5 linked regions of the Rattus norvegicus genome follow. The main gene of each other region encodes a partner of the protein of the gene in region 4 in a complex. Links are inferred from orthologs where the notes say so. Each region holds a gene or a part of one and is shown on either strand. Other genes may lie near its edges. The genes, in order: Bnip1, Bet1l, Vti1b, Stx5 and Stx18.

Region 1 (2,759 bases), on a different chromosome or scaffold from region 4:
GTTCTTTTGAAGGAGTTTTCTGGGAGTGAACAGACATTTCCGAATCTTTGTGTACCTACTGCAAGTTGCTTTACAGACAGCAATGTGGTTTTCGTTCCCTAATGGGGCTCGAGAACGTGGGTTCAGTTTAGCCACACTGACTGATGTTTTAGAAATGTGCAAACCAGTTGGTAGTGGTGCAAACATTTAATCCCAGCACTTGGGAGGCAGAGACAAATTGATCTTTATGAGTTTGAGGCCAGCCTGGTCTACACAGAGAAACCATGTTTCAAAAAAACAAGAGAAGGAAGGAAGGAAGGACGGAAAGAAGGAAGGAAGGAAGGAAATAAACGTGTGCTTGCTGGCTGTGTTACAACACACCTGTCATCCGAGCACTTGGGGTTGACTGAGGTGAGGACATTCTGCCTTCTAGACTAGCCTGAGCTACACTTTGAGGTCCCATCTCAAGGCACAAACAGAAAAGCACTGATGTGATAGGTTAAAAATGGGGCATTTTGCAAGCTAGGCTTTTGTTGCTATTGCTCCTTCCTCTGGACTTGCAGGAAAACTACCAAAGAAAGTTTGGCCCAGACATCCAGCACCATCACAGAGAGTCTCATGGGGATCAGCAGGATGATGTCACAGCAGGTGCAGCAGAGTGAGGAGGCTATGCAGACTCTAGGTAAGGAGGAGGACGCTATTCCAGAGCACACACCCTGGCACCGCTGCAGTTCTCCGGCTCTCCCCACCCGAAGCTTCCCAAGTTGTCCTAGGAAATGGTGAGACATCCTGTGAGGGAGGCGTTATGTTCCTCTTCCTCCAGTTGTGCAGCTGTGCTAGACACGCTGCGCGCCATCAGTGCCTCCCAGAGGAAGCGTTGCTAGGCTCCTGTGAAAGCAGAACTGGCTGGCCTCTCTGGAGATGGTGTCAGCAGTGCTTGCAAGGGGTCCGGGAGTCTGGTTTGCAGCGTGGGCTCATGGGTCTAGTATTGCCAGGCACGTTTGGGAATTAGGGTCCTGGAAAGACCACTCCTGTGAGTTCCTTTCACATGGACCAGCCGGTGGCCAGGGAGAGGCTGTTGGACAGCACTGCATTCCTGCCAAGTGCCTTCTTGCCATGGCTCCTTGCAGAGACTGCCCCTCCAGGGCCTTTCAGTGTAGGAAACAGGAAGGAGGTGCTGTTCATGAGACTTCACATGTCAACCAAAGTAGACAACGAGGTTTGGTAACTTCTTGCTCTCACGGCTGTCACTCAGTCACCTTGTTTCATGTTTACCCTTAGTTCATCCCCTATCCCAGACATCATCCCGGAAAAAAGCTCAGCGCATCTAAAAGCTAATAGTAAGGGCGCTGGAGGGATGGCTCAATGCTTAAAAGCAGAAAGTGCTCCTGAAGAAAGCCCAAATTCAGTACCCAGCACCCATGTGTATAACTCTGTGGGCATCTGCACCCACGTGCATACACCCACACAGATACACACATAGTTAACGAGAATAAGAATGAAACACACACACACACACACACACACACACACACACACACACACACACACACACACACACACACACACAGAGCTCAGGCACTGGCCTTGCTGACAGCCAGCCAGCAGCTTCAGGTCTTTATTACCTGGGAGGTACAGTCTGATTCAGGCTCCTTCCTCTCCTGTTGTAGTCAGCTCTTCACGGACTCTCCTGGATGCAAACGAAGAGTTTAAGTCCATGTCAGGAACCATTCAGTTGGGCCGGAAGCTCATCACAAAATACAACCGCCGGGAACTAACGGACAAGCTTCTCATCTTCCTCGCCCTGGCCCTGTTCCTTGCCACGGTCCTCTATATTGTGAAAAAGCGCCTCTTCCCATTTTTGTAAGGGAGAGCTGCCGGCTTTGGCCCGTGCATTCCAGCGTCAGGACCCGGGGCTCTCAAGGACTGGCCGGGCTGCCAAACTGGCCTTCCCATCTGCCTCGGGTGCTCAGTGAATCAAGAGAGGGAAACACAGCAGCCCAGTTTCCTGCCAGGGGGCTTGGAAAGGGTGAGTAGAATAGAGGAGACCGGAACCTTCTGGACCAGGGCGCTCCACACTCACCCAGCTTCCAAGCACTGCGGCTGCCACATAGAACACGTCAACTCCCGGACTTACTGCACCTTTCGCCATGTCCAGAGGCATGAATGGTGAATGCTGGGTGTGGTGGAGGGAGGAGTGGTGAGGCCCGTGGGAGGGGAGGTGACGACAGCCCATGGCTGTTCCCTGAATAAACCTCATTTATTTAATAGAGTGATTACTGCTTAGTATTAGAAGCTATCTCTCTGGGATTGTGTACGCCTCCTCGTGTCCTGACCCCTCGGACATGAAGTTAGATTCCTCATTCACCAAGGAGGCACTGCAGCCAAGGGAGGGCTCAGAGGTTAAGAGCACTTGCTGCTCTTTCAAAAGCCAGGGTTCTGTTCCCAGCACCCACATGGTGGCTCACACCCACCTCTAACTCCAGCTCCAGGGGACCTGATGCCCTCTGTGGGCCCCAGGCAGGCACACGGTACATTCCTATATGTAAAGTAACTCTCGTGTGCATGCCGTGTTTAATTTGCTGAGGGCGACTGAGATGGCTCAGTTGTTAGAGGTTCTTGCCCATAAATCTGAGTCCCCTCTGTCCCAGCAGGGGAAGGAGAGAACCAGCGCCAGGAAGTTGTGCAGCTGTGGCGTGTGCTGCGTCCCTGCATACACACAAATAGAAAAAAGTTAAAGAAGCACAGAGCAGCTGCCACAGGCTAATTCTGAGACATCA
Region 2 (4,047 bases), about 9.7 Mb from region 4:
GGCGCACATCAGTGCGAAGGGCTGTTAGCAGGAAAAGGAGCCTTAAGTCAAAGAACTGGACTTCGTGGGGATAGCTCCTTTTGCGGTACAGTCCCACACGTTCCGCTAGCCTCACCACCAGTCGAGCCTCTGCTGCTAGCATCTGTGCTGTAGGACTGCTGAGCACAAGATTACACAGGCATTTGAGAGACTCGAGGAGGACATCCATGTCTGGGGGCTGTGGGATGGGCTCCTCTGAGATGGCAATGTCGGCATAGCAGGCTAGTGCGTGTAAACTCTGGCGGCTAGCAAATGAGTCCAGGCAGCTGCGGTCTCGGGATAGGATTCGGATAGTCTGCAGCCAGGTGACACGGTGTTTTGGTGACAAGCCCTGCTCCAGTACGGAGACCAGCAGCTTTGCGAGTCTCTGTGGGAAGGGACAAAAATGGTTCCACTAGGCCCTCTTCTTGGGGCAGCCCGTGCTTGCCCTAGGAACCCCCTTGGGCTGACACCTACCTTCCTGTCCTCCTGCTGTGCATCATCGAAGGTGAAGCTCTGGGAATGCTGCAGGGAGACCCAGGAAGCTCAGTTCCACACGCAGGTAGGACCTGTGCTCCTCGAGAAGCAGCAGGTCTGCTTCTACCTCTGAAGCAGCAGCCATCGCTGTGTACGTAAAGCAAGGCCCACCCTCGCCACCCATACACCTGACTACCACAGAGGCACCGCCGTGGCCCAGCCCACCACCCACCGCCCTGCTCCCTGCCACACTCGCACGCACACCCCAGCCGAGTGGCGAGCAACCGGCTGCTTCCTCACTTCCTGCAATTTCCTCGGCAGCTGGATGCCTCTCACCTCTCGGTTAAACGACCGCAGAGCTTCTGTCACCGCATCTTCCTCTCCCGTCTCCAAGGCATCCGCAACTGCCCGGGGCTCCATGGCCCCTGGCACGGGGTGCTAGAAGACTTGGGCTGGGAAGACGCAATCGGCCAAACCCGGGGACTCCGCCCAGGTCCGGAAGCCCAGCGTCCACGCGTGAGGAATGCTGGGAGAACAGCCGAGCCTAGGGTGTGTACAGGCGCGGGGCTGGCCTCCGGCTTAAGGTGGAGCAACCCGGCTGTGGCCGCTGAGCGGCTTGTCTTGGAGCAGCGATGCTAGCTAACTAAGCAGTATCCTCCTTTTGAGCCCTTCTCTCTAGCCCGACTTCCTGGCGGGCGGGGGTGGGGAGTGGGGTGTGGCTTGGCCGGCGCGTAAACCTTTCTCCTTACACTCTTGTTCCCGTACTGTGATAAAAGAGGGAGCGCCGGCTCCTGGCCGCTTAGTCAGTTGGGGAAGACGATTCTCGCGGTCATCTTCCTGATGCTCATCTTCCACGGGAAATAAGGAAAGAGAAGTACGACTTGGATGGTCAAAATAATGTACGTGGTTAGCCGGGCATAGTAACGCACGCTTTTTTAAATTTCAGCACTCGAGAGGCAGAAACGGGCAGACCTATCTAAAAACAATCAAAAAACCAAACCACCAAAATAATGTGGTTATCAAAAGAAAAGGGCAATTGCAGAGTGTATGAGGAAGGATCGGAGAGAAGGAAGTGAAGAACACCGGTGGAAAAGCGACTCCCGCGGGAGGAGCAACGGAGGGGCGGCTAGCCGCGGCGTGTCTGGGGTTAGAAGCGTAGGAACGTTGTATAGTGGGGAGCCAGGTCTGCATGCCACTTAGCTTAAGGCAGAGTCGGTGCACCCCACGGTGACACAAGCAATGTTCCAGAGGATAATGCCGCCCGCTGTGCTAACCGGCGCTTGCCTCTACTCAGTGTCAGGTCCTTTGCCAGTCTCTTTCGCTTCTGCTCGTCCTCCCCATCCTGTCGTTCTCACTTGGGGACTTTGCAGCGCCCGAGGTACCCGACCCTCGGCTCCAGGTTGGGGTCTGAGCTCCTGCTCCGGGTAATACCCACAGCGCGGGACTAATACTGCTGACCAATCCGTAGGCCCGAATGCTGGCGGCCCGCCCTTCCCTTATTTACATTCCAGTGTAGAACTACAAGTCTGTTTCTTCCGCTTCAGACTCTTCTCCCGGAAGTTATTAGACCTGAGGCGGAACCGGAAGACCCAGGTAGTGGTGCCACGTCCGTCGCTGTGTTGCCTACTCCCCGAGTGGGACCTCGGAAGGCGCGATGGCAGATTGGACTCGAGGTGAGCGCACCTGAAGGTAGTTGGGATAGGAGGCAAGGTCTAAGTCTGGAGTACGAGCCATCAATTTTTCCTCGGTGGAGGGATCTGCGTGGGATGGCGCTTACGTATTCCAGGAAAAACAGGGCCAGATTTCAACTGGCACTGCCTTGGAACCCAAGCCGGCATGACATCAGTTTGTGTGTATGGTTGATGCCAAGGGCTGGAAGCAGAAGGTCCAAGCAGGGACTTACAGGGCTCAAGTGCCTCGTTTCACACACACCCTCCGCCCCCGTGCCTGTGTTCAGTCTGACAGTTGTGATACTGAGGCTTCTACTATACTAACTATGTAGTGGTTGGTAGGACACAGCCGTCTGTCTTTTAGAGTCTGGTCGCCCCTGTTTGCTGGTGCTGCTGGCTTTCCCCTTAGGTGGGTCATATCGAGGCTGGATTTTTATGCTTCAGACCAGTGCCAGTCACACTTAGGCAGGTGATTCTCAACTACATACCGTGACAGAAATTCTTCATGTCTAGTCTCTGTCCGTCGGAGTAAGGTTTCCACAGGAGAGTGCTCTGGGGCTTCTAGAGATCCTGTGTGGGTTGTAGCAGTAGGGATTGGTAGTTTCTACAGTAAAAGGCCTTTCTTACACTTACCTTGGACTTGATTCCTAAGTCATCCCCACACAGCCTTCCTGTCACCTGCTTTGTTGTTCTGTTCTGTTTTCCCTATAATCCCTACCAGATTGAGACCTGTCCCATACTCTCAGATGGTGATTTCAGCTAAGGCAATATTCATTTTGGTCCAGGAACAGTATACAACAGGGTAGTGTAGATTGACCTGCTGGTTCCCTGTCTCTGCCTGGGCATTGCACACAAGTACTCCCATGACCCATGCTTCCTGTCTGGTGTGTAGGTGGTCTACCTGTTGGAACATAGGGTGGAACATGCTAAGTGAGCAGAAGGATATGGGTGGAATGCCCTTAGAGGTCTCACCAGGCCAGGCTCCACTGGAGCAAGGAGCCAAGGACCACATTTATGAGTGAATTCTACCCTTCAGCCTCTTTGTCTTGCAGCTCAGAGTTCTGGTGCTGTGGAGGAGATTCTAGACAGAGAGAACAAGCGGATGGCTGACAGCCTGGCCTCTAAGGTCACCAGGCTTAAATCGGTTAGTGGTGGCCCTTTTCCCTTCCATGAGACACTTTGGTGAGTGGGGCTGAGTGGGTAGAAAGGAAGCCATGCTGTCCGTGGGTGTGCTGACTGAGGAATGCTTCAGGTAATACCTTGGCCTTTTTAGCTTTTTCTAGTAATAGGTACCTAGCAGAATCTGAAGGGAAGATGGGCACTGCACTCTGTGTCCTTGCTTGACTGTGCCTTCTGTATCCCAACCAGCTGGCTTTGGACATCGACAGGGACACGGAAGACCAGAACCGATACCTAGATGGCATGGTAAGTGCCTGTATTACGTACAAATCATAGTCAGCTCTACCCCCATGCCGCCTGCTCTTCTGCCTCTAACCCTTCAGCGCTAGTACAGTTGGGCCGTCACAGATCCCAGCTCTATGTGATCCCGTTGGGTCTCTCCCGCAGGACTCAGATTTCACAAGTGTGACTGGCCTACTCACAGGGAGTGTGAAGCGCTTTTCCACGGTGGCACGGTCTGGGCGAGACAACCGGAAGCTTCTGTGTGGTATGGCTGTGGTCTTAATTGTGGCCTTCTTCATCCTCTCCTACCTCTTGTCGAGGACAAGGACGTGAGCCAGTGGGAGCCAAGGGCAGCCAGACTCTTGTCCACCTGGTATCCTGGCTTCCTAAGGACCTGACTACAGAAACAATATTCCTTTGAAATTATCATCACGGGTCATTCGTCTTCCTAAGTCAGGACGACTGCGGCTGCCTCTGTCGT
Region 3 (3,867 bases), on a different chromosome or scaffold from region 4:
GTTATTTTTAAATACTTCTTGCTAACAAGACAGGACGTCCCAAAAGGGCCTGCCATGCAAGGCAAGAACTAAGTACTATCCATGCTCACAGGTCAGGTGTTTACAAACATGTTCCAGGGAGCAGAGAGCTCTTCTTAGTTCCTTAGGTCTCTTCTAAGAGACAGAAACTGGGATTGACATTGGTCAGTAGACAGGTTTTCCACTACTTTATGTTGGAACAATCTATGAATTTAACAAAGACCTCATCCTCAGATATTTAACTATATAAACTATAATATAATAGAGAATATCTTCTCCTTCGGTTGGTGAATGCCTAGAGGAGTGCTTGGGTAGCACTAAGGTAATTTATCAGGGTGTTTGTTAAGTTACTGGTCTAAGCTCTCTATATTTCTTAGTTGAAATATATTGAATATCAAGAATTTGTGGGGGTTGGGGATTTAGCTCAGTGGTAGAGCGCTTGCCTAGCAAGTGCAAGGCCCTGGGTTCGGTCCTCAGCTCCAAGAAAAAAAAAAAGAATTTGTGGGTTTCTTGAAACTTACTTTCTGGACATAGAGCGAAGAATCTTTCGGCTTTTGCTTAAGTTTTCATTTGTGTTTACCAGCTGAAAAAGAAAATAACAGATCATTTCTTCTTCCTTTCAAAAAAACTTATATAATTTGAACATGGGCATTAAAAAGGTCTATAATTCCAGTTCCAGGGGATCTGATACCCTAACACAGACTTATAATATATGTAGTCAAAACAGCAATGCACATAAAATAAAAATAAATCTTAAAAACACCCCACAGAAATATAGGAATATGCTTTTGTTTTAGTCCCAGGTATGGGATATAGGGATACTTCAGGTTGTTCACAGCAGCTGACTTTGATTGCTTTGTGCAGGGGTGTGATAGTCTGTGATTGTGAGATATTTGGAATTCTGGGGACTTTTCAGAGTCCCCAGAAGCAGGATGGGTTGGCTTTTGTTGGTTGGTGGTTGCTGGTCATGATTTCTCAAGAAGTTATGCACAAAGAGATGAGAAGAAATTAGATATCTTGATGAAGATCAAACTTGCCACAAGAAACTCAATCCCCCTAATCAGCAGGAAGTAGCCTAACTATAACATCACCCCCTTTCTTTTCTTTTTTCTTTCCTATCTAGTGTTAGGGGGTTGAAAGGGTGGAAAAGGGTAGAAGAAAAACTCACAAAATAGCAAAAGACCAGTTACACCACCATATTAAGAAAGGATTTCTTAAAATACTGGCTGGCCAACAAATTCCAAAGATCCAACTATTTCTAATCCTCACCCCCAAACTCTGGGGTTCCAAACCCATGAGCATCTGTATTGATCTTTATTGACAGACCCATCTCCCTTAGCTCTGTACAAGTACTTCTAATGCGGAATCTTTCAGCTGAGGAATTTAAAACTTGTGAAAAGGGGAGGCGGGCTGTTATTCCCAGAAGTCAGAACTGGTGTAGTGTCTGGCCTTAGTGTGGTATCTGGGTATGAGGACCCCCCTACTTTACACATTGCCCAGACTTACTCTACTCTTGGTACGTTCCAACTGGTCTCGTTGCTCCCCCAACTCTTCTATGATTTCTGAACCAATTTGGTCAGTTTCTGCGGCAATCCGATGAGAACGCTCAATGCTTTGGGTGGCTCGGTTCAGGCTTTCAGTGCCTTGCAGAAGTAATGCTCTTTGAGACTGCAGCCGATTCTGATAGCAGTAAGGAAGAAAAATGTTAGCTACTTCTGTTATAAATTTATTGTCAGTTATTCCTTGTGGCTTTCTTCTTATGTACAAGGATACAGTAAACCATCATTTCCCTAGCTTTTCCTTTCTGTCTGCAGGGCACTGATTCTAGGGCACTCCTGCTGAGGTCCTATGTGTAAAATAGTAGTCTGCATATAACATGTACATATCCTCCTAATACATTAAATCATCATTAGATTACTGATACCTGAGAAAAGGTAAATATTATGTATATTTATTGTTCAAGAGAATCATGGCAAGAACATCAAAAGATGTTCAGCAAATAAAAACATTTGTAAAGCTTTATGGGTACCAGAAGAGGGTATCGGATCCTTCAGAATTGGAATTTTTTGAGACAGGGTCCTACAGTGTAGTTCTGGCTAACCTAGAACTTACTATGTACACCAGCCTGGCTTCAACTCCCAGAGATCCATCTGTCTCTGCCTTCCACGTGCTAGGATGAAAAGCTAGGTGCTACCATGCCTGGATAGATGTAATATTAAAAAAAAAAAACAAAACATTTTCAATCCAAAGCTGACTGAAGAGTGCTTTTAAAATTGAATCAAAAATTCTAATGAAAAATAAGATCCTGTTCAAGGTCAGGATTAAAGCAGGCAGATTCCACTTCCCTTAAGACTTCTGAAAAAATAATGAAAAAGAATTGGAGCATTTCCCCTGTGAACCAGTTAAAATCCATTAACATGTAACTGGCTATTAGCAACTTCAGTCAGCATCCAGACTGAGTGAGAAGGTAGTAGTGTGTGCAAAAATGACCTAATAATGCAATTAGCTTGTAACTTTAAAACTCTCTGCTTAAGCATTTATTCATTTTTGTTTTTTAAGGCGGCCTCACTGTAACTGAAGTTGAATTCAAACTCATCATGACTGTCCTGGCTCAATGTCCACGTGCTGGGACTGTAAATGTGTGCCATCATGCCTGGCTTGCCTTACACTTCAACAGTGCCACAAGTAAACAACGAGCTTCCAAAACACTAGAAACTAACTAATTCACTCAAGTTCCCACTTGGCTGGTGCTGATGTAGAGACCATAAATAACGTATTCTTTCTCAGCTCAGAAGTCATTAAGAACTAGAGACATTGGTGCATTCTTAAAAAAACTTCCATGGCCATGAGTGGCTCATGCCCAACAGCACTCTCAAGTTATCACCATGCTGGTGATTGTTCACAGGGAAGGGAGAGTCTGGACCTCACTCGAGCTTCCCTAGCTTCCCAAGAACTCTTACTCTTCACTGAAATTTTCTCTCTCTAAACACAGCATGACAACAAAATCGGCCCAGGTCAGGCCAGAATGAGTAGTGATGGACAGGGGTTCAGCTCAGAATTTACTACAGAGCAGGTGGCAAATGGCAGAAGATCTCATCAGCAATCAGATTCTGAAGCCAAGCACTGAGGAGGCAGAGACAGGCAGATCTGAGCTCCAGGATAGTCAGGGCTACATAGAGAAATCCTGCATCCAAAAATAAATAAATAAATAAAAAATAAATAAATTAGCCTCTTGGGCCGGGATGGTGGTGCACAAGTTTAATCCCAGCACCCACAGAGAGGCAGAGGCAAAAGGATTTTTGTGAGTTCAAGGCTAGCCTGAGCTACACTAGGGAGTTCAAGAACTATATACTCTCAAAAAATTTTTTTCTTAAATTAGATTCTTAGAATGTTTATACAGACCAGTAAATAAAGAAACCACCAAGGGTCAAATAAACCCATGCATGTGGTCCTCGTCTGTAATCTTAACACCTAGGAGGCAGATGTGGGAGGACAGCTCTAGCTATGAGGCCAGCCTGGTTCATATAGAGAGGTTCAGTCCAGCAAAAATGGTGCTGATGAGAAGGCTCAGTACCAAGTCTGAAGACCTGAGTTCAGTTATGGGGACTCCTGCATGTGGTCCTTTGACTTCAACACATGTGCTTATGCATATATATATATATATATATATATATATATATATATATATATATGCACATACAAAATAAATAATGTAATAAAGGAGGGCTGGAGCAATGGCTCAGTGATTAGTCCTGGTTGTCTTCCAGAGACCCTGGGTTTAATTCCCAGCACCCACACACTGGCTCACAACCATCTGGAACTCCAGGTTCAGGGGATCAATAGTCTCAC
Region 4 (3,989 bases):
AATTGCCAAGGGTGAGGTCCTTCAGAACACAAGGGCATTGGTTTTTTGGTACCTAGAGGAATTATTTTTCAGCCAGTCTGTTTCCCTGTCCCTGATTCCTGAATGTCCTTCTTGATCATCAGGATGAGCCCCAAGAACCTCAAGAGCCCAACCTAGTGCCCCCAGAAGACACAGAGACAGATGAACTTTGGGCGTCTTTGGAGGCAGCTGCCAAGCGAAAGCTCCCTGATTTGGACCAGAAACAAGGTGCTCTCCAAAGAAGGAAGAAAAAGAAGCGTCCTGGATCCACCAGTCCTTGAAGCCCCTTGCTCACTTTGTTAATAAACAGCCCAACACATACTGAGATCCTGGACCTTTTGTGATGGGAAAAAGGAGAGCTTGTAGGTGGGAGGGGTTCCCTCACCTGGCCGCGGGAGACCTGACGTCATAAAAGCTAGGCCCAGAGCTAAGCTGGCTGGGGAGGGTGGAGGAGTGCTGCGCCTTTCGGGGCCATGGGCTGCTGTCAGGACAAGGACCATCCGGATGAGCAAGGACGGGAAGAAGTAACAGAGGAAGGCAGGGAAGGTAGGACTAGACACAAAAAAGGTCTCAAGACCGGGAATGGGAGTGGGAGGTGCCCCAAAGGGACTGCCCAGAGGAGGGAGCAGAACTGAATTAAGTGGATCCTGTGGTCCTTGTAGGCAACGAAGGGGACAACCTAGGCCGCCGTAAACAAAGATCTAACGAAAGTCTTCTGATCACCGTGCTGTGGCGCAGGCTATCCATGTTCAGCCGTCGGGGGTCTTCACGGTCAGGCAAGCAAGACAATCAGATGCAGGAGCGCAAACGTGAGGGCAGCCACAAGGAACCAGAAAAGGGCTGACTACAACCCTGGTCTCAGTCCTCCCCAACATCCAGAGAATAAAGTTAATATTGCGAATCTGCTGAAAACACTTTTCTTTTTTTTTTTTTTTTTCGGAGCTGGGGACCGAACCCACTGAGCTAAATCCCCAACCCCCCAGCCTCAGAGTCTTTAAGGCTCCTGTAGCCCAGCCCCTCGAGATCTGTTCTGCTCTTTAGGGGCGGGGCCGCAGCGGCAGTCTAACCAATAAGAGAGCGGAGTCGAGTTTGCATGAGCAGGGGTGTGTTCCTTCTGTCACTGGGCTAAAAAAGAGGCGTGGCGCAGTAGCCACGTCACGGGGTTAGGGGTACGTGTAGGTGACGTGGCGGCTCCAGTTCTTTGGTCCGGCTTCCACTGCTTACAAGTCCGGCGAGGAGGCGGCAACGACCTGAGGAGAGTAGCGGTGGCGGTAGGCAACAGAAGAGGTAGGGTTTCGCTCCAGTAGGAGTCCAGCCTCGGTCGGTCGGCTCAGTTCGGGGCAGCAGCTTGACTGGGGGGGAAGGGAGCCAGGGGCAAGTCCTGCTGGCGGCTCCGCGAAGCGAATATCCCGGTGTCCAATCAGGAAAGGTCTTGTTGAGAAAAACTTCGGCCCTGTCCAATCAGTGGCTGTAGTCTTCCAACAGGCGGAACTTTGACGGAGGTGGGACTTCCTGTTTCAAATAAACACTTAAGAGGTTTTTTTCCCCCCCTCCGCCCTCTGGAGTGTGCCCACCTCTGGAGGTCCGTTGCCGTTTTCTATGAAAGGGTGAAGGAAATCACGTATACCAGAAGGCACGATTAAGACCTGGGCCAACTGCAAAGGTCTGGCTGGAAGTTCAGGGCCGCAGGACCAGGCTGTGGCTGTTTTCTCGACTTTAGGGCTCCCGGCCGGTGTTCTTGTAGTCATCCAAGTTGGAAGGAGAATCTGAGGAGGCTTCGCCTTGGGCCTGGAGGAAGCTGACCATTCTCGCCGTGTCCCGGGTGCAGGATCTGCGGGTGGCCTTGGGCTCGAAAGTCTGTCAAATACGGGAAAGGGACTGAGGATTTGCTAGTTGAGGGTAAAGTTTGGGGAAACAGGCCGTTTGGAGAATGACATTCTCCTCTCCACAACAGTCCGAGGTTATGCGACTCGATGATCCCGCGGAAACGCTACGGATCTAAGAACACGGATCAGGGTGTCTACCTGGGTCTCTCAAAGACACAGGTTCTGTCCCCTGCAACTGCTATCAATAGCAGCAGTGACATCGCTCCTTTGCCCACCCCGGTGGCCCTGGTCCCCTCCCCTCCCGACACTATGTCCTGCCGGGATCGGACCCAGGAGTTCCTGTCTGCCTGCAAGTCGCTGCAGAGCCGTCAGGTAAGGACCTGGAGTGGAAAGACCGGCGTGAGCCCATTTAGTTAATGCTTAGGTTTTGTTTGCTAGTTGTCTAAACTTGCTTAACAATTCTTAAGTAGTCGAATCTTACCAATAGGAGAGGAAGAATTGTCTTCAGGAGAAATTGAGAATACTTTAAGTAACTTGTCCTAAATACCACAAACCTAATCCTAATGTAGGATTCAAGCCTGCATCTAATTGTTTTCTTAGCTACAAACCACTGATAAATTTAGATTGTCTGACACCAGCAGCACTAGAGTGTTTAGTGGTTTATGTGAGGGAGCAGTGAAAAGCTGAGCATAAATAGCGAAGGGAATTAGAGTAGCAACTTTTTGATACTCCTTTTCAGAATGGAATCCAAACAAATAAACCAGCTCTGCACGCTACCCGGCAGTGCAGCGAGTTTACCCTCATGGCCAGGTGAGTTAAGAGGGGCTTTGTGGTGGGGTGACACAGTGTTTTAAGAAGTAGATCTGCCTGGGATTGGCTGAATGGAATTGGTCCACAACTTTCTCACTGATGATCATTTGCAGGCGCATTGGGAAAGATCTCAGCAATACATTTGCCAAGCTGGAGAAGCTAACAATCCGTGAGTGTTTGGGAGGCCTTTCCTAGGTGGGACGGTGAAACATAGTACTAGGAGGTGAGGCTCATGGAGGTTTTGTTTTATTTTTTCCTACGGTGCTGGGGATTTCTACCTTAAGGCAAGTGTCTCTATTACGGAACTGCTATCCTAGCTCTGTGAGCCTTGCTATTACCCTCACATGTTGTAATGTTTCATCCGTCTCTGCAGTGGCAAAGCGCAAGTCCCTCTTTGATGATAAAGCAGTAGAAATTGAGGAACTAACATACATCATCAAACAGGTGAGCCGCTAGCCATCAGGAGAGCCCAGCATTCTAATTAGATTACTTCCATCATTTTCCATCGCCATGAATCCCCAGGGTAAGTATCTAGACCCGTGTCCAAACACCCTGCTCCTCCATTGAGTCAGTAGACACTTAGGATCGTCTAGTGTTTATAAAGCACTGTTCTAGATGCTGGTGAGAGAACTGTGAAGCAAGATGATTGTCTTCAAAGGCTCGTTTTCCTTGCGAGTTACCTGGCATCAAAAGCCTTGGCTTAAAATGAGTAGGTGTTAGCATAGAAAAGGTTTACAAAGTGATGAATGAAGCAGGATTCTGGGACGGTTGACCAAGTATGTGAAATCTGAGCTGGGAGGTAGGTTGGGGAGGCTATATGCAGCAGTTCAACCAGGTGGTGCCTATGTCTTTAGTCTCAGCCCTCAGGAAGCAGAGGCAGGCAGACCTCTGTAGTGAGGAGAATGTTTTTGTTGTATTCACAGGTGTAGGTCTGTGGGGCTGCTTCGAACTTGGCCAGCTGCAGATAGTCTATGATTGTGTGATGTTTGGAATTCTGGGAATTGTTCACAGGGTATATAAATGCTAGAAGCCCCCTCACCCCCAAGAGGTAGGGTTGGTGGTTATTTCAAGGGGAGTTAGTAGTCATGCTCAAAGAAGAACTAAGAAAGAAACTAGATTCACCGACCTCTATCTCTTTTCTCTTCCCCTTCTTTCTCTCCTATTTAGTTGATAGGGGAGCACAGAGTGTGTATATGTTGTGGGGTGGGTGAGGAAGAGTGGGAAAAGGAGGTCCACAAAGTAGCAAAGGCACGATACAGATCTCTGAGTTTGAGGCCAACCTGGTCTACATAGTGAAGTTCCAGGACAGGGTTGCAGAGAAATTTTCCCAAACAA
Region 5 (4,314 bases), on a different chromosome or scaffold from region 4:
TTAAGTCTGGCTTAATGGAAAACAGCTGCCCTGCATTTAGCCTATTGTTAGATCAGTGTCTCTGGGAAACCCAGCCACACAGCTGATCAGAACACACAGATGTAAAGGCCAATATGAGCCTGGAATTATTACAAAACTCGCTTTTCATCTCCATGACAGCTAAAAACCCAATTTTAGCACACATCATAGTGTGCTTCCTTTTATAAGGAAAACAAAATCCAGAAAAGTTGATACTGAAATAAGACTAAACCATGGGGGTCACACTCCTGGACAAGAAAACTCCAGGCAACTATGGCTGCTGAGAGAGGAAGAGTTAGCCTATCCCTCTAATTGGTTGTCCAATACGAAATGATAATCCCTGAAATCATACACACATAAACAGTTTCAGCAGATTGTGCTTGCATAGCCATGGATACTTACATATATATGCAACAATTACAATTAAGGAAGAAGAGGCTATAAATTTGAGACTGAGTTGGGAGACATGGAAGAAATCAGAGGGAGAGGATTGGAGGCTGGAGAGAGAAAAGGGAAGGAGAGAAAGTGGCATAATTGTATTTTTAATTAAAGGTGTACACAAAATAAAATAAACCATGAACAAAGCGTCCAGAAAAATTTTATTAGCTGACTTTAGTCAAGTTAAGTAACTCTCTTCTTTTCAATTTCCTCCTTTCTCTATAATAACTATGACTCAAGAGAGCGCTTTTCAAAACTACTTATTTAGGAGGAACATAACACAGTTATCATCAAGCTCAGTATGCTTCACTTTTCTCTGGCTCTCATAACTTCCTGCTCTCCATATCCCCCCGCTCAGGGATCTCTGCTCTAAGCCTCTTCTACACCATAAGTAAAAAAGACTGAGGACAATAATATTATCATCAACTGCAGCATTTACGGGCTGCGTAGTAAGAGTTAAACAACATGAGAATGCGCATTCTGTTTAATTTTCTGTGCATTCTAGGAAGGTGCTAGCTTCACTTTACCGAACTGGCTGAAGGTTTAAGAAGAGAGCCCTCTGGACTCTACCTCTATACACTTACCCTTTCCTAGTACAAGCACCCAGACGGTCATAGTTCATTGCTTCTTAAGTGGATCCCTAGACGACATAGGTCAAAGGTGTTAACACTCCCCACCTGTCAACCAAACCTCACGCCTGTCTTCTAAAGAATCATACGTGAGCGATCTTTCTAGTTTCCTGATGCTTCCGTTCCTGAAGCCCAGTTTTAGAAACCCTGTGAAACTTCCAAGCGTCTGACCCCGCTGAAGTTTGCAGTGAGGAGAAAGAGGTGCTGATGCACTGCGGGTAGCTGTCTGGAACGGAGATTCCCTGCGCTGGGCCGAGGCCGGAACCTTTCTCTACTCGACGCAGTACACGGGCTGAGAGCGGAACCTTCCTTTTCTGCTCACAGTTCCCAGGCGGAAGCGAAATCGGAACGTCCCTCAGCGACCGAGCTCTTGCTGGGGTCGCTTGCTGCTGACGTGTGCCGACCGGCTTCGGGCCGCGGCGCGGGTCGCTATGGCGGTGGACATCACACTGCTCTTCAGGGCTAGCGTCAAGACAGTGAAGACGCGGAATAAGGCTCTTGGAGTGGCCGTGGGTGGTGGAGCCGATGGCAGCCGAGACGAGCTGTTCCGCAGAAGCCCTCGGCCCAAGGGAGACTTCTCCAGCCGGGCCCGTGAAGTGGTAAGCTGGTTGCTATGGGAACGACTGGTGGGAGTCAGGGGCGGATCTGCAACCGCGGACCCTGCACCCCTAACTGGGCCCTGCCTCGTTAGCTCTTGGTGAAGTGAGGGAGTCTCTAGCAAGACAGAAGAGTCGGTCTCACGAAGCCAACAGCTGGCTCGGGGTGGCGACAGGTTTATTCTCACGAAGAGGGACGCATATCTGGGCACTGAAGGAAGCAAGTTTTGAAGAGGCTCTTGGATGTCCTTGAACTCAGGCTAACTTTTAGAGGCAGTGAGTTCGCCGTGGCTGCTGATTTGAGTGCCTTGGAAGAGTTCCCACAGTCTTACGCTTCCTGTATTAAAACTCACCACTCTCTCCGCTTGCCCTTTCATGTGTGTGTTTGGACCTCCTCTTGTGCATAGGGTTTAATAAAAATCTACGCTCAGCAGAACTCTCCTTTGTCCTTGCCTCCAGGAATAGGTAGAACTCAGTACCTCCAGAAACTGGTTTAGGATATCACCAGTGTAGGGTAAAAGCTTTTTCCTTCAGAACTGCAACACTTAAGCAACACCTAGTGTTGTAACTGTCCTCTAAACTGCTTTCTGTTCTCTGGACACAACCGGCTTTTGTGTCCCCCAACATAGGAACCTTCTCCATAAGGGTAGGAACATGTTGACATTATTTCTATATGTGTGACTGAAAACATTGCTTAGTAAATATTCCTTGGATGGATGGATGGATGGATGGATGGATGGATAAACAAATGAATAGATATTGTTTCCACTAAACAGGGAAAAGGAGATTGTTTGCAAAAGGAGATTGTTTGCAAAAGGAGATTGTTTGCATTATATCCCTTTGTATCTTTGACACTAAGGGTAAATGTTATTTTTGTTGCACCAGGAGGCATATACAGTCTGTTCTTTTAAAGACACACACACACACACACACACACACACACACACACACACACACACAGAGTGGTCCAAAGCATTGAAAGGTACAAGTCAAGGGAACCTAAACTTTAAGTATAATTAGTTTTCCAGTAAGCTCACCTCTGCTTGGCACATAATCCATTGCTTGATACTTCTCTTTTTGAGACAGGGTCTTTCCATGTAGACCAGGCTAGCCTTGAACTCACAGAAAGGTGACTGTTTCTGTCTCCCAAGTGCTGAGATTAAAGGCATGGGCCCCATACCAGATGACACTTGAATATTGTTTTATATATATATATATATATGCACAAGTTAATGAATGACTGTTTAATACTCAAGGTATGGAAGGTATGGACCAGATAAATGATGCCCCTCCCTCCAACAATAAGCATCTACTTAGAACTGAACTTGTGACCATCATTGTTTTAGAGTAACAGGATTCTATTCTTGAGTTACAAAGTTTCAGTGCTAGAGAGATACAAATATAAACAAACCCCCTGCCTTGATTCCTGCGGGTATTCTGTAGGGCACAAGGGAAACAGTAGTTAGTTCCGCTTGGGAGAAAGGCTTCATGGGACAATGATATCAAATATCCATTCTAAAATAAGAGTAGTTGGTTTCATTACAGATAAGGTCAGGAAGGGCATCACAACTAAGTTAACAACAGCATACTGGCCATACTCCTGGATGCCCTCACACCCAGGAATACAGGGACAGTGCAATTAGGCTTGATGGGCTTTTAAAGAAAAAAGTCTGGGGGGGGGCATGAAGTTAGGGGAGGTAAAGAGGTGGGAGTGGATTTGAGAGGAGTTAGAGGGGAATGGTGGTAAATATCAGAACACATACGGAATTCCCAATGAATTAAGAAAATACTTTTTTTTTTTTTAAAAAAAGAAACCAACGTGCACAAAGGCATGAGATAGTACCAGCTTAACTTAAGTTGGGTTTGATTAACGTAAGAATGTGAGACACTCAGAAAAAAAGAGTGGTATGGTACCCAGAGGGAAATCTAGAAGGACCTTGTAGATCACTCTTCAGAATTTGAACTTTGCCTTCTAGACCAGTGGTTCTCAATTTTCCAAATACTGTGACCCTTTAATACAGGTCCTCATGTTGTAGTGACCATGCCCCCAACGATCATAAGATTATTTTCATTGAGACTGCATAGATATAATTTTGCTACTACTATGAATTATAATGTAAATATCTAATATTCAGGATATTTAAATGTGACCCCTGTGACAGGATCATTCAACCCCACAAAAGGGGTCACAACACACAGGCTAAGAACCACTGCTCTAGACAGTCCAATATTATGTAGACAGTAAAACCCTGAAGAAGACCCAGGAGACCACATTGTTGTCTTAACCATGTTAGCTATTAGCCAGATTCATGCTATTAAGCAAGGTTTATTTACCTATAAAATGGTTCATCTTTATCCAAAACAGACTTTAAACATCCATTGGGTCTATCATATATGTCATATATAAAATGTCTTATCATACCATGTATTATGTTGAAAGAGGCATGACTCAGGTTGAAGTAAGAGGACAGGAAAATAAGGTGTCATCATAGCTCTCTTCTGAGTCTGGCCAAACTGTTACCACAGTGTGTGGACGTCACAGTTTTGGTGTGTGGAGGCTCTTCCCTGGGTGGTTTATTAATGCTGCACAGATTTTCAGTCCTTAGGAATAGGGGATTTCGGAACAGTTGATT

The links.
Region 1: Stx5 (region 4) and Bnip1 share a complex: the UniProt entries of both Homo sapiens proteins name them as parts of the SNARE complex. The link is inferred for Rattus norvegicus from reciprocal best matches to the Homo sapiens genes STX5 and BNIP1.
Region 2: Stx5 (region 4) and Bet1l share a complex: the UniProt entries of both Homo sapiens proteins name them as parts of the SNARE complex. The link is inferred for Rattus norvegicus from reciprocal best matches to the Homo sapiens genes STX5 and BET1L.
Region 3: Stx5 (region 4) and Vti1b share a complex: the UniProt entries of both Homo sapiens proteins name them as parts of the SNARE complex. The link is inferred for Rattus norvegicus from reciprocal best matches to the Homo sapiens genes STX5 and VTI1B.
Region 5: Stx5 (region 4) and Stx18 share a complex: the UniProt entries of both Homo sapiens proteins name them as parts of the SNARE complex. The link is inferred for Rattus norvegicus from reciprocal best matches to the Homo sapiens genes STX5 and STX18.

The regions. Positions count from the first base shown.
Region 1 is NC_086028.1:16,890,812-16,893,570, reverse strand, and holds the end of Bnip1 (vesicle transport protein SEC20), read left to right. Parts: intron 1-542; coding exon 543-661; intron 662-1,649; coding exon 1,650-1,846; 3' UTR 1,847-2,254; downstream 2,255-2,759. UniProt on the Homo sapiens protein: As part of a SNARE complex may be involved in endoplasmic reticulum membranes fusion and be required for the maintenance of endoplasmic reticulum organization. Also plays a role in apoptosis.
Region 2 is NC_086019.1:205,361,895-205,365,941, reverse strand, and holds the start of Bet1l (BET1-like protein), read left to right. Parts: upstream 1-1,235; 5' UTR 1,236-1,394; intron 1,395-2,039; 5' UTR 2,040-2,149; coding exon 2,150-2,168; intron 2,169-3,217; coding exon 3,218-3,309; intron 3,310-3,533; coding exon 3,534-3,590; intron 3,591-3,731; coding exon 3,732-3,899; 3' UTR 3,900-4,047. Other genes in the region: Ric8a (synembryn-A), read right to left, coding at 1-406, 496-543, 832-915. UniProt on the Homo sapiens protein: Vesicle SNARE required for targeting and fusion of retrograde transport vesicles with the Golgi complex. Required for the integrity of the Golgi complex.
Region 3 is NC_086024.1:103,695,635-103,699,501, forward strand, and holds the end of Vti1b (vesicle transport through interaction with t-SNAREs homolog 1B), read right to left. Parts: intron 1,699-3,867; coding exon 1,525-1,698; intron 602-1,524; coding exon 536-601; 3' UTR 501-535; downstream 1-500. UniProt on the Homo sapiens protein: V-SNARE that mediates vesicle transport pathways through interactions with t-SNAREs on the target membrane. These interactions are proposed to mediate aspects of the specificity of vesicle trafficking and to promote fusion of the lipid bilayers.
Region 4 is NC_086019.1:215,065,345-215,069,333, forward strand, and holds the start of Stx5 (syntaxin-5), read left to right. Parts: upstream 1-1,187; 5' UTR 1,188-1,305; intron 1,306-1,428; exon of another isoform or gene 1,429-1,972; 5' UTR 1,973-1,991; coding exon 1,992-2,216; intron 2,217-2,583; coding exon 2,584-2,654; intron 2,655-2,767; coding exon 2,768-2,823; intron 2,824-3,027; coding exon 3,028-3,098; intron 3,099-3,989. Other genes in the region: Wdr74 (WD repeat-containing protein 74), read left to right, coding at 123-299; Tex54 (testis-expressed protein 54), read left to right, coding at 492-564, 681-862. UniProt on the Homo sapiens protein: Mediates endoplasmic reticulum to Golgi transport.
Region 5 is NC_086032.1:76,970,915-76,975,228, reverse strand, and holds the start of Stx18 (syntaxin-18), read left to right. Parts: upstream 1-1,502; 5' UTR 1,503-1,516; coding exon 1,517-1,684; intron 1,685-4,314. UniProt on the Homo sapiens protein: Syntaxin that may be involved in targeting and fusion of Golgi-derived retrograde transport vesicles with the ER.